Linked DNA regions of Nothobranchius furzeri. The protein of the gene in region 1 purifies or fractionates together with the protein of each later gene. This does not show direct contact. Links are inferred from orthologs where the notes say so. Each region holds a gene or a part of one and is shown in the gene's direction. Other genes may lie near its edges.

The links.
Region 2: the proteins of fbxo21 (region 1) and skp1 purify together in Homo sapiens (affinity purification with mass spectrometry; 6 studies listed by BioGRID and IntAct, with this or other methods). This does not show direct contact. The link is inferred for Nothobranchius furzeri from reciprocal best matches to the Homo sapiens genes FBXO21 and SKP1.

What each region holds. Positions count from the first base shown.
Region 1 is NC_091750.1:34,029,612-34,036,934, forward strand, and holds the start of fbxo21 (F-box only protein 21), read left to right. Parts: upstream 1-2,651; 5' UTR 2,652-2,696; coding exon 2,697-2,920; intron 2,921-3,433; coding exon 3,434-3,569; intron 3,570-3,749; coding exon 3,750-3,859; intron 3,860-3,954; coding exon 3,955-4,076; intron 4,077-4,337; coding exon 4,338-4,484; intron 4,485-4,717; coding exon 4,718-4,851; intron 4,852-4,930; coding exon 4,931-5,067; intron 5,068-7,323. Other genes in the region: nf2a (NF2, moesin-ezrin-radixin like (MERLIN) tumor suppressor a), read right to left, coding at 454-576, 680-805, 1,468-1,581. UniProt on the Homo sapiens protein: Substrate-recognition component of the SCF (SKP1-CUL1-F-box protein)-type E3 ubiquitin ligase complex.
Region 2 is NC_091750.1:60,008,263-60,015,349, reverse strand, and holds the start of skp1 (S-phase kinase-associated protein 1), read left to right. Parts: upstream 1-2,961; 5' UTR 2,962-3,106; intron 3,107-3,699; 5' UTR 3,700-3,702; coding exon 3,703-3,799; intron 3,800-3,950; coding exon 3,951-4,024; intron 4,025-5,768; coding exon 5,769-5,912; intron 5,913-7,087. Other genes in the region: ppp2cab (serine/threonine-protein phosphatase 2A catalytic subunit alpha isoform), read left to right, coding at 1-79, 162-335, 424-513, 599-760, 850-968, 1,053-1,125. UniProt on the Homo sapiens protein: Essential component of the SCF (SKP1-CUL1-F-box protein) ubiquitin ligase complex, which mediates the ubiquitination of proteins involved in cell cycle progression, signal transduction and transcription.

The sequences.
Region 1 (7,323 bases):
TCTGTTGTTGAGAGTGTAATCTCTTCAGCCATCGTCTGTTGGGGTAGCAGCATCAGAAGCAGGGACCTGAAAAGGCTCAACAGCCTAATAACAAAGGCTGGTTCTGTTCTGGGGACGACTGTGGAACCGCTGGAGGAGATCATGCAAAGAAGGATTCTCCAGAGAATCAAGAACATGATGGACAACCCTGAGCGTTCTCTTCACAAGACTGTCCGACAACGGAAGAGTGTCTTCAGTCAGAGGCTTCTTCAGTTTGGCTGCAACACTGACCGCTACTGCAGATCCTTCCTGCCAACAGCCATTGTAATATACAACAACTCTTTGATGACTTGATTATTATTATTATTCTGAGCTACTACAGCAATCAGTTTCCCTCTGGAATCAATAAAGTATTTTTGAATTGAACTGAAATGAATTATCACCATTCAATTCCTTATTAATATGTTTCATTACCTGTAGGAAGAAGAGACGCTGAGTGATTTCTTGTACGAGCTCCTCCTCAATATTCTCAGGGTAAAACTTGACCAGAAAGAAGAACGTGATGGGCTCCTCGTTGGGCACTTCCTGATCTAAAATCTGAAACAGTGAAGAAAAGGTTTCTCCACAATAAATGTTTTGGTTCTAGCAAATGTAAGAAATGCTCACTCATGTTGTACGACAAGTAAAACACTGGATCGACCTTCTTTTCCATCTTTAGCCAAGCCACGGTGTCTTTTATTGTGTACTGCAGGCCAAAGAACCACGTTTCCCATAATCCTAGACTCCTGCACACCAAGTCAAACAGGTCTTTTCCTTTCCATTTGACCTAAAAGATGCATTAATCATAAATAATGGCCATTAAAAATGATAAATGCAACCACGTTAAAGGTCCAAGGAAATAATGTTGGTGAATCCTCTCATACAAACTGAATACTTTATATTTGAATTGGCTTTTAATCATGCAGCACATTTCATTTAAAAATAAATACATATTATTTACTAAACCAGTAGTAAATCCTCCTTCCAACACTGAAAATAGAAATCAGTAACTAACATTATGAAGCTGTTTGCAATTACCAAACCCAAGCGATAATCAAGGAGCGGTTCCTCCCTTTTAAATACAGACATGGTGCTTGCAAGTCACTCAGTCCTACCACATAACACATCTATATAGTAGATGTACAAACAAGGAGTAAATGTATCTAATAAATTTCTAAATGACCCTATATTTACAGATATATTTTAATAATACTACAAAAAAGAAGAAAAACAAAGCATTTTTTAAAAGCATGTTCAGGTGATGCTCTGTTATTTGCTGCCATCTAGCGTCAGTGAGCGAGAACTGCAGGTTTAACATCCAGATTTCTCCTGCGTCGTATCTGTGGTTATGTGTAAACAAATGACTCAGTTAAAGACACAAAGCTGAAACACAATTCGGGGTTTCTAACTGAGGGTGGCAGAAAATATGCTCGCACGTGTTAAACTTACCTCGCAGTTGAACTCTTCCTCTGACTCCATGGTGCAGATCCTGACTCTGAAGTTCCTGGCTTGTTTTCTCAGCAGGGAGTTAAATCCCATTTTTGCTGCCAAGGCACTTGCCATTGCAATAAGTTCACAGATTTAACAAAATCAAGTACTTTCGATTCTCCCCTTTAAGCCGAAAGGTCAAGACATTTTTCCTCCCAGTTTCCTTAACAAGCTGAGACAGGCGATGGGAGAACTACTGGACATAAGTACAGATGTGCATGTGACGTTTCAGCACATTTAAATAACTGTAGTCATATCTCACTACATATTTTAAGCTTCTCCTAATGACTCATTACATTATTATTTACAATTAATTGTATTTTCCCTGGTTGAAACAAAAGCAGACGTTCACAAACACGTTTAGCAGAAGACCGCAGTGTCCTGGGCTGGTAGCTAACGATGAGTAAAAAGTAAATTAGCTTACTAAAGTTAGTCACTTCCAAAATAAAATGTCTGACTGTCTCTAATTTGACACGACTCCAAAGGAAAGGTCTTACTAATACACATGTAAGTGTATGAGAAACGTTTAACCCTTCAATCCACAGACTTCACGCGAAAAGCTAGGCGACCTGTGGCTAACAACTTGTAGCTATCTTAACCAAAACTGTGCTGCGTTCACGTGTTGTCTATTATGTAGTAATAAGTGTGTAAATGTTTAAAACTCACTTTGGGGATCAGAGTTTGTAACTTTTCTCAAAGGTTGTATAAAATGTTGCCACTATTATAAATTATAATGTTTGTCATTTTATAATGAGCTCGACAGATTTTAAAATAGTTTTTCAATTATCTGATCATTTTCTAGAGTAAGTAGATTGTCCTTACAAATCGTCATGGCTAAATACACCTAAATTAAGGGATGGATCAATGACTTGTTAATTACCTTTAACTTATTGTATGGCATTCTATCCTAAATTACTCTGTATATTTTGAAAATAATAAGATAGATACAATTTGTTTTTCTGCATTTACAAAAATTAGGTCAAAGGTTTACCCAGCTTTTTGTAAAATGAATTGCTTAGTTCCCAGGGACATTGAATGCATCATCAGCAGGAGCGTCCCACCATCGCCTTTCTCTCTAACTTAACAACCAATAATATTGCAGGTTGTGGCAGATGCCCCGCCCTTAGCCCAGCCCCTGCGCCATAAGGAGGCGGTGCCTAAGCGATGAGGTAATGGGGTAAACAGTAAAAATGGCGACGTCTGTAGCCCAAGAGGAGCAACCGATTCTAAACGGGAATATTTCCGAGCCCCAAACTAAAAAACTGACATATTTGCCGACCGAGTTGCTTGAACATATCTTGTGCTTCCCTGTCCTCACACACGTCGACATTTGTAACGTTTCCTGCTGCTGCAAACGACTGCACGACGTTAGCCATGGAAGGGGAAAGGTCTGGGAACACCAGTACAAACTAAGGTGCTCCGATTGTGTGAAAATCCATGCTAGTTCTGGTTTGTGTTGGTTTTTTATGGATTTAGTTAGATAACAATGTTGTTACTGATTTTACCCGTCCTGTTTAGGGCTCTAAAGCCCTTTAATGCCTACTTGACATGAGCTCGTTTCCTGCGAACTGAAACTGTCAGCGAATACATTCTGCTGATGCACCAGATTTATCCTTGAGCTAATCCGGGTACCGGGCATCCCTCTAGACACCCATGACACATGGAATAAAGCTTGCTAGTGACATATAATGTGTTTTTCTTTGAGTATTCAAAAGAAGCATCATCTTTGACCTTGAATCTCTGGGAACCGCACAGGCTCATTCACTGGCTGCTTGGTTTTTCTCTCAGCAAGGAGGCAGCTGCTTCTACAGCAGGAGGACGGACAGTTTTAAAGCGCTGCATGCACCGATTATGGCAGGAAGTGGCCTGATTCTCAGAACACCCTTGCATGTTTCTGAAATAACAAATCTGCTCTTTGCATCAACAGATGGCCGAGATTGCAGAGGTTTTACCGTCAGAACGAGAGCTGCGACTGGCTAAGGGAGTACAAAACACGCCACAGGGTCGGTATACAGATACGAAGGACTGTGGAGTCGATTTCAAAAAGATTTTTCACAGAAGTTGTAAGTAATATGTTTTCTCATTACATTGGAACTTGGTTAACTCTAATCAGATTACTCTGTAAGATGTGATATATTACATCCAGATGTTCCTGGTTGCCTCCAGTCTGTATGTGGGTGCATGCTTGTGCAGTAACATGTATTTTTAAATGTTGCAAACTAACCCAGAGATCTGTAACTCAGCCTTGCGTTGGCCAGGTGTTGGGAGACAGCTTTGCAGAGATTGAATCACTCGGGATGCCGGAGCACTTCTGCGAAGATGAGCTCCTCTTCATACTCAACTCCGACAAGAGGTGAGAGCAGTTTTGTGTGGCTATGAAAGCCTTTGTTGCATTGCGCCCTCTTTTCTGTATCATTAAAGTCCGTCTCTTTCTCCACCGTCTGTTAGGAAAAGCTTGACACTGAAATACTATGCAAGAAAAATCCTTTACTTCCTGAGACAGCAGAACATCTTGAGGAGTCTGAAGACCTTTCTGGAGCAGCCTGCAGAGCAACAATCAGCTCTGGAAGGTGATCCATCAGTACTGACCGTTTGCTGGGTTCTGCTGCACCTCAGCTCAGCTCAGCTACATCTTGTTTTACACACATGTGTCCTGTTTTTGTCTGTAGTATAAATATCTATTTTACAGAGATCTGAATGTATTATCCTGCAGTAATAATTACCATATGAAAATAATTTTAAAAAAGCTTAGAAGGAATGAAAATATGTTACATTGTTCGGGCATTTTCCTTTTTTATTACCACTTTTGATTGTTTTGTTTGCCTCTTTAGGTGCTGTGCTGGTGGATCAGTACTGTAACCCACTGGCAGACGTCACACTGGATGGTGTTTCAGTTCAATTAGATGAAATTATAGAAAAGGCAAAGAAGATGCTAAGAATCAAAAATCCATCTCATCCCAGTCTTCGCATCGCCAACGGTGAGATTATAAGATAATATAGGACAAGAAAAGATTTATTCTTTGTATATATGTGCCTTTTTTCAAAGATTTTTTATTTATTTATTTATTTTGCAGAAAGTTTATTGCATAACTAGACATTTAAAACATTAAGACCTGTGTTTGCACCTGCAGCAAAGTCTGAAACAGCCATGAATCTGCACAGATTTTTGTGTGAGCCATCTTTTAAGAGTTTAGTCTTGTGTGTGCTGTAGGTGACCATGTCATTGAGGACTTTGAGCTCCAGAGGCAGGTGCTGTTTGCTCTGAACTCGGTCTTGTATGAGCAGCTTCAGTACAAAGGCAACGAGTGTGACTATTACAACCCGCTCAATTCTTACATCCATCAGGTCAGCCTTAAACAGGTTTTTCACTAAATTATCAATAATGCATTTATTTTAAAACTATTTTCACTTCCTTTTTACTTAGGTGCTCCTTCGGCATACTGGCATTCCCATCAGCCTCTCTGTTCTTTACATGACCCTGGCCCGGAAGCTGGGCGTTCAGCTGGAGCCCGTCAACTTTCCCAATCACTTCCTGCTGCGCTGGTGCCAAAAACCAAGAAAGTATGACTGGATCTTTCTAAATTAAATTCACATTAGAATAGAATAGAAGTGGCCTTTATTTTCAGGAAGTTCAGACGTACCAGATACAGGTAATTACAGGCATGCATACCCACAGAAATATAAAAGAAAGATATAAAACCAGAAAAATAAGAGGAGGAAAAAACATCAACAGACTGTTTACACACCTGGAAACCCACACAGACACATGGTTGTTATTTTAGCATTTGCTAAAAGACAAAGTGTTGTTTTTTTTCATCTTTTGACTCAGTTTTGACATTTTAAAACGTATGTTTATGTATTTAGCAGACGCTTTTGTCCAAAGCGACTTACAAGTAATAATCGGCATATTGCCCTTGAGGCTAACAACAATAACCAATTTCCAGTCAGTCGTAGGTGGCAGTGAGGCAGCATGATGAATCATGGAGAGGAGGGAACAAGGAGTGGACAGTAGAGAGGGGGGACGGGTGCAGGGGGGGTGCTAGTTTAGAAGATGCTCTCTGAAGAGCAGGGTCTTCAGGAGTTTCTTGAAAATCAAAAAGGAAGCCGCTGTTCTGGTAGTGCTTGGAAGGTCATTCCACATTTGTGGAACGATGCATGAGAAGAGTCTGGATTGTCCTGAGCGTGGTGTAGGCACTGCTAGCCGACCATCCTGTGATGACCGGAGCGGCCGGGCCGAGACGTAAGCCTTTGCAAGAGGATTCAGGTAGATGGGAGCCGTACCATCTCGGACTTTGTATGCTAGTGTTAGCAATTTGAATTTGATGCGTGCTGCTAGCGGTAGCCAGTGGAGCTCAATGAACAGAGGGGTGACGTGTGCTCTTTTAGGCTGATTGAAGACCAGACGCGCCGCTGCGTTCTGGACCATTTGAAGAGGCCTGGAAGACCAGTTAGAAGGGCATTGCAGTAATGGAGGCGGGAGATGACAGTAGATTGCACCAGGAGCTGGGTGGCATGTTGTGTTAGGTATGGTCTGATCTTTCGTATGTTATACAGCGCAAAGCGGCATGAACGGGCAACAGAGGCAACATGATCTTTAAAGGTCAGGTGTTCATCAATCACAACACCCAGATTTCGAACTGCCTTTGAAGGAGCCAGAGATAGGAAGTCATTCTGGATTGAGATATTGTGTTGTATGGATGGTTTTGGTGGGATGACAAGTAGTTCAGTTTTAGAGAGGTTGAGTTGGAGATGGTGGGATTTCATCCATTTTGAGATGTCAGAGAGACAGTTTGATATTCGTGCAGAGACAGTGTGGTCGTCCGGTGGAAATGACAGATAGAGCTGGGTGTCGTCTGCATAGCAGTGGTAGGAGAAGCCATGTGATCGAATGATCTCACCCAGTGAGGTGGTGTATATGGCAAAGAGAAGAGGTCCTAGTACAGAGTCCTGGGGCACTCCTGTGGCAAGATGGTGCACGGTAGAGGATTGTCCAAGCCAAGATACACAGAATGATCGTCCTGTGAGGTAAGATTCAAACCAGGTGTGTGCTTTCTCTGTGATGTCCATGCTAGAGAGTGTGGACAAAAGGAAGCCATGGTTGACAGTGTCACATGCAGCTGATAAGTCGAGCAGGATAAGCACTGAGGATTTGCCAGTCGCTCTAGCTTCTTTTAAGGATTCAGTCACTGCTAACAGAGCAGTTTCAGTGGAGTGGCCCTTTTTGAACCCAGATTGGTAAGGGTCAAGCAGACAGTTTTGTGAGAGGTAGTCTGTGATCTGCTTGAAAGCCGCCTGCCTTTCAATGATTCTGGACAGAAAAGGGAGGAGAGAGATAGGTCGGTAGTTCTCCACATGATTTGGAGGAAGAGATGTTTTTTTAGCAGCGGTTTAACCTGAGCATGCTTGAGAGAGGTGGGAAATGTACCGGATGTCAGTGAAGCGTTGATCACATGTGTGACTGCTGCGGCTACTGTAGGAGCAATAGCTTGGAGCAGCTTAGTCGGAACGGGGTCGAGTGGGCATGTAGTAGGGCGGCTGCACGTGAGAAGCTTGGACACACAGTTCTCAGTGAGAGGGGAAAAAGAGGAAAATGAAGCAGTAGGGTCTGAGATGGTTGGGCTAGAAGGAGTTTGTGGTAGTGAATGTTCAGGAGTGGCCAGTTGAGTAAACTGTTTGCTTATAGCTGCCACTTTGTCAGTGAAGAATGAGGCAAAGGTGTCTGCTGATAGATTGTTGGTAGGAGGTGGAGATGGAGGGGCAAGCAGAGGTTTGAATGTTGGAAATAGTTTCTGAGAGTCAGTAGAGCTGAGAATGTTG
Region 2 (7,087 bases), about 26 Mb from region 1:
AAACTACCTGTTCATGGGGGACTATGTGGACCGAGGGTACTACTCTGTAGAAACCGTCACATTACTTGTAGCTCTTAAGGTGACTTTGTCAGACATTTAAAACAGTTTTTTTTTCCTCTTTGGGGTGAAAAACGCGACGTAAACAGATGTTTGTGTTTCAGGTTCGCTTCCGGGAGCGCATCACGATCCTCAGAGGGAACCACGAGAGCAGACAGATCACACAAGTCTACGGCTTCTACGACGAGTGCTTAAGGAAATACGGAAACGCAAACGTTTGGAAATACTTCACAGACTTGTTCGATTACCTCCCCCTCACTGCGCTGGTAGACTCTCAGGTGAGAGGAGCGTAATAAAAAAGACCGAACTTGACGTTTCTTTGAAAAGCATCATAATTTGTTATAATTATCGATTTTTTTTCCTCAGATTTTCTGCCTCCACGGGGGCTTATCACCGTCTATAGACACGCTGGATCACATCAGAGCTCTGGATCGTTTACAGGAAGTGCCGCACGAGGTAAAGAAAGACGTTAAATGTGGTGCAGATCAGCAACGAAACAATAAAGATAAAAACGTTTGTGACCATTCTCGTTGTCACGCAGGGTCCCATGTGCGACCTGCTGTGGTCAGACCCCGACGACCGCGGCGGCTGGGGCATCTCTCCCCGAGGAGCTGGCTACACATTTGGTCAGGACATCTCTGAAACGTTCAACCACGCCAACCGCCTCACGCTGGTGTCCCGCGCCCATCAGCTGGTCATGGAGGTTTGTCTTTGTGTCCAAAGATGATTAAAAACAAAGAAGCAGTGCCGCTAAGTTCAGATGCGTGTTAATATTACATCTGCTTACCTCAGGGCTACAACTGGTGCCATGAGAGGAACGTGGTGACCATTTTTAGTGCTCCTAACTACTGCTATCGCTGTGGAAACCAGGCAGCCATCATGGAGCTAGACGACACCCTCAAATACTCTTTGTAAGCAGGCGAATTTCATCACGAGTGGACAAAGAAATCTTAGAATAAGTTGTGATTTTTTTTCTTCCTGATGTTCCTCCTCAGCTTGCAGTTTGATCCAGCGCCTCGCAGAGGAGAGCCCCATGTAACTCGCCGCACCCCAGACTACTTCTTGTAAACCTGCAGTCTCGACCCGCGCACGGTCCGGTCCGGTCCTGTCCAGAACCACCAACCTATCTGACTTTGAACTGAAAACAACGTGATGGAGGCCTGAGAGGCTGCAGTGTTGCACGTTGTGTTTATCCAATCTAGTTAAAGCATTTCGCAAAAGCAAATGTGTCTATAAACGGACCAAAAGGTGTGTGCCATGATCACTTAAATATTTATTGTATCTGAAATGACAAAATAGAACATCCTGGATGTCTCGGCTCCTCCTCCTGTACATATGGAGCTGGGTTGACGGCACCAAAGTCCAAGACTAATTTGCTACTGCAGACCATGGTTTTTGAGATTTGAATGTGATTTGTTTGCACTTTTGTACAGTTAAAGAAATGTTAAATATGTCAAAAAGATTAATACGATTTCACGATATTGATAGTTTTTTTGTTGTTTATTTTTAAATTGCATGTAAACCTTCAGTTTTTTTTGACCTGTGTATGTTTTAGGAAAATCCCTTCTCATGCAGTCAGATGGCTTGGTTTATAGAAAAGATGGAGTGTTCATCAACTCACCTGCTTCCTTTTAGCTTCAGACTCTATAATAACCTACTAGAATAATAAAGATGACTTCTTGAATTGTGTTTTTGGTTATTCTTCATTCTTGTAAAAAGTCTAGTTATATTTGGATTTCTCTGGCCAGTTGTAATTACACTGACACAGCAAGGCGAAGACATAAAAAATACATTTATTTAAATGTGAATTTAAATTATTGTGCTCCATAATATTAGATTGTATTGAGAACAGAAGTATCAATTGCCCAAAACAAGCAAACTTAATGTTGAGAATTGTGTTATTTCAAATAAAAGGCGCATAAATGCAATTTTATTAAGTTTTTCCAGAGCAATCTAAGCCAGCCTGGATCCTGCTGGAAACAAGTCGCATCTGCCGGAAAAAAGGGGAAATACGCCACCCTGTGGTTGTGAATAGGCACGACACCACACATAGACAATCGCAGGCACTGACCCTAGTGCTTCCTGTTATCTCTTCACAAAGTGTAACTAATAAATTAGACTTACACATTTTCAAAAATAAATATATTTAAATTTAATATTTTTAAATATTATTTTGTATTTGATATATGACATAAATTTTTCTTACCGCACCACCATGCCATATACAATAAATGAATGATTTGTGTAGTCTGTTGTCAAAAGGAGTCATGTACTTTAAATTGTTATTGGTACACTGACAGAGAGATTTATAATGAAAGATACACATAGAAAGTGATCATTTTATTTTTATTAAAAAAAATAGAATAGCACAAGACAAGTCACTGTTATCACAAAAGAGCTTATTTGTTCCATGTAGACAAAGTATTTGTCTTTTTATAACACAAATTCTGATTTAAAATCAAAGTGGTTCGAGATGAGACAATCAAAATAAAATCTGAGCTAGGTAAACAAGAAGCGATGCTGACTGGTAGCCACCGCCACGATTTGAGCTCGGCCCTGCTGTGCTCCCTTCATTAGCACATGTTGTTAAGGGAAGCCAATTTATCATATAAAATCGGAATTGTACTGGGGTTGTTTAAAGGAAATCGGCACTTGCTTGCTTTTAAGTGTTGTTAAGTATCTACCTTACTAAATATACACTGTGGGACAAGACAACTGGTATTTACCATCGACATATACGTATTTACGTTTAATAGCTTATGTTTGGCACGTTTTGATCACCTTACTTTATAATGTATTCTGCAAGAATTAAATAATATCACGGTTTAACTTGTACAGACATTTTAAATGTAATTAATGAAAATGCTGTTTTGTTTAGAACAAATAAAAAAATTGTAGGGCATTAACATGATTATATGTTACAACGGATTGCCATACAGCGGAAAAGGTTGATCCAGAGGCTTTTAGCCGCTGTTCGTCACTTAAAGTCTAGGCCTTCCAACGGACTCCTAAGGATATATAACCTTTGAGTTTTTGTTAAATAATCACGGTATGTAGCTTCATGTTCTGGTGACCTGATAAAGTTAGGTTTAAATAGATTTTCACGTCAGGTTTATGCGTCAATTTGAAACGCCTCGATGATGTAGCAAAGAGGCCTAGCTGACAGCAAAGAGCTGGCGAAACGAAGAGTCAAGATTTAAGCTTTGTGACATACATTTTAGACACAATTGATTGTCTCGCCTGTGATTAACATGTATTTGTTTACCATTATTTGTAATAGCGAACATCTTTCAATGTATTTTTCTTTTAAGCACACGGAAACTAGCTAACTTTAGCATTTCCGTCTTGTAGCTTGTGTCATCGTTAGCTTGGGCATTAGCGCTTCTCAAATAAATTAGATTTACAACAGGTGGTATTTATTCAGTATGAACACACAAGTGCATCTGGCAAGTCTTATGATAGGTATTATTTATCAAATCAATAGCTTTTGTTTATACAAAGAGCTAATTGTATGTTAGCTTTTCGTTAGCTTGTTGTTTGCTAGCTTAGTTTGGTAATTGAGACAATTCGTCGCGGATTACGTCTGCTATTGTCGCAAAATTAGCAGTAAATGCACTGAATGAATATTATTGTTCATTCCAGAAAATGCCCACGATAAAACTACAGAGTTCTGATGGGGAAATTTTCGAGGTAGACGTTGAGATAGCCAAACAATCCGTCACCATCAAGACCATGTTGGAAGGTAAAATGTTCTGTTCATTTCAAACGTTCAAACTTGATTTTGTGAGTTTATAACTGACGTAAAAAGAGTTATCAGTTTTTTTAATTAACAGTAAAGATCGTTTGGGTTGAGGCTGAATTTTAACGTTTTTTTTTTTTGTGTGTGTGGTCAGACTTGGGAATGGACGATGAAGGAGATGATGACCCAGTTCCCCTTCCTAATGTGAACGCGGCTATCCTGAAGAAGGTACAGAACGCACAGCTGTCACAATGACAACAGCAGAGTCATCAGATTTGTTTCACATCAGTCGATGGGAGAAAAGTGATTGGTTTTTATTTGATTTCTGGATTTCACCGTGACAGTTGGGTATACCGCAATAGTTGACTAATCGTGTCATTCAAAAAAAAAACTATAGGTTATTGCACCAGGCTGCTCTAATATACCCATCATTAGCTTCTAGTTTGAAGTTTAATCCGTTATGTGCCATCTAATAATAAACTTTTAATTAACTTCATAACTTATTAATACAAATGCTACAGTCAAATGGAGGTAGGCACCTAAAACCAAAAATAAATTGTCTACAAAAAATTACTTGTGTTCGCAAAATGTATTCTAATCTTAACTCAGGAAATAGCAGGGCACATCAAGGTGCGCCTCTGTAGCATGGCTGGTACACCCGTCAGCAGTCAGGGGATCATCGACAGCTTTGAGGGTCTGCTTTATTGTAAAGATATTAAATTTAGTTTATTTACCAAATTAATAATTCTGTTATAAAACAAAGTAGATTAAAATTCAACACATGTAAACTGTATTATGCACCAATATTAGGTTCCTGATTGCTCAGTCAGCAACCTTTTTATTTGATCATAAAACACATTAAATTCCAATAATTATTTGTGTCCAGAGAGAAAGAGACTAAGACTTGAACACGCGCGCACACCTTAAAGGTTGTTTCGTATTTCTTTTCCATCATGCTGGTGAATGGGCATCAGCCTGGTAGGTAGTTGTCGTGGTATCCTTGATCATCTTTTTGAAACCTCGATCACCGACCATGGACAGGAGTCTCATGACCAACATGGTCAGGACGTTAGCTTGCTGAGGTGTTCACGTAACCAACTCGTCCATTGAAGAGGAGCATTTTTATTAACACTGTAGCGTAGCGGGATGAAATCATTATCGTTTGTAATTGGAGCAAAAATACGTGACATACAAACGTGATCTAATGGTAATAAAAATAGCCACCGCTACTGCTGTTGCTACACCTATAACTACAAGTAACTCTCTGTTGATGCTAGCAGCTAAAGAGGTAAACTTAGAGAGGCGACTCTTTATTCTCTGCCATGACGTGCTTCCTTGTAAGGTGCTCATGCATCGCCGATGTGCTCCCGTGAAAGGAGAGTTTCCCTTTGCAGAGTTTGCACTATGTGCTTTCCTTAGTCTATGTATAATACTCCAAAACTTTTGAGCTATGTTGCCGACTCGCTATGTCTTCTTTCTCCGGTGACGAAGGCTGATCTGGATGGCCACTACTGCGAATGCGCCTCGGAGCTGAAAACAGCCACTGACCCGGATGGGGACTAATGCGCATGTGCATTGAGCAGAAAGTCAGGAAGCAACCGCCGAATGTGCCGCAGCAGGCGAGATTAAAATTAATGGTCACAGAATAAATAATGCATCCACTATTAAATTAGTAGTCGAGTATTTTGTTTGTTGATGTTGTGACGAGTCGACTAATCATGGCAGCCCTATATAACTTATTAAGAGGATGCTCAGTCTGTCTTTGTTATGTTCTGTCCTGCCAAATCAACTGACACGCTCCTTTAATCCAGATAAAGGTAAAACTGTACGTGTAGATGCACCTCAGCAGAAGATCTCAAAATTCCTTCATCACGGGGGAATGTTGTGCACATGTTTCTGTCTGCGTAAATCTTAACACGAATGTATAAAATTATGTAGTTTCAGTTAAGAATAAACATGTTTTCCCCTTTAGGTGATTCAGTGGTGCACTCATCACAAAGATGATCCTCCTCCTCCCGAGGATGATGAGAACAAAGAGAAAAGGACGGACGACATTCCCGTCTGGGACCAGGAGTTCCTCAAAGTGGACCAAGGCACCTTGTTTGAACTCATTCTGGTAAATATGTTTCATTAAACATTATTCTTATTTTGCTGCTAAATGCGTTAGCTACATTGAAATTGATGCTTTTCCCGCACCCCTTAAACAGATTTTCACCCCTCAGCAGAATTCTTAACTCTTGAGGTTGAATCAACTGGAAAAAATGTCCTCTCTGTTTTTAGGTCATTATTAGAAGTTTGGGTCAGGCAAAACCAGAAAAGTTGTTGTTTTTGCAAATATTACACATAGTTTATAGTTCTGCTACAAATTCTGATTGGCAGCCGACCTCTTCGCCGCAGCTCTCCATAACACTCAGCCTAAAATGCGCTCACTGTAAACATTACTATAAATAAAATAAGTGTTTAAAAAGGCAACTTATTTTGTATTGTACAGCTATAATTATTCATGTGAACTGATTTGAAATGTAGTTTATAAGAGGAGCTTGGAGACGTTAGCGATCCACTTGTGTTTGGATTAGCTTTAGCACATCATTAGTTAAAACGTAAACACTTTCTTCAAACTGAGGCTCTTCAGGAAGCTGTCTACAAGAAGTAAGATAAAAACTGATGTGTTACACAGAAACACGTCAGAATGTCCCAAAGCCCCATGAATATGTTCTTCAAACGATATAAGTGCTTGTTTTCTCTTAACTCCGATCCAGATCTTTATTTACACCCGTTACTTCAAACGTCCTCGTTTGATGATTATTTTAAAAAAAATTTTTTTTGTCAAGTTTTGTGTAATTGGGTATTCTGTAGGGATGGACAATATAACGGTATCGGCTGATGTTAGCTATTTTTTAACATATCTGTTCAATAAAGAAAACCAGGCCAATATTAACAACCGATATTTTTCCATCTTGTCCCCATTTGTTTGCCTGTTTCAGAGGGTGATGTGTAATTTAGTCTTGTGAACAGTGAATGAAATCATTTCAGAACCATAAATGTGTGTGGTGTGTGTACATAATAATGTAAATCCAGCTTTAATAATTTATAATTTTCATTCTATACAAAATCTGCTGATTTTAGAAGCATTAATGCCAGTATATCGATATCGACCAATATCGGTATCGGCACAAAAAATTTCATATCGCCGATATATGATATCGGTGCATCACTAGTATTCTGTCTAGGGATGTCCCATTCCGATATCAGAAGCAATTCATTATCGGCCCAAAAACACTATTGGATTAT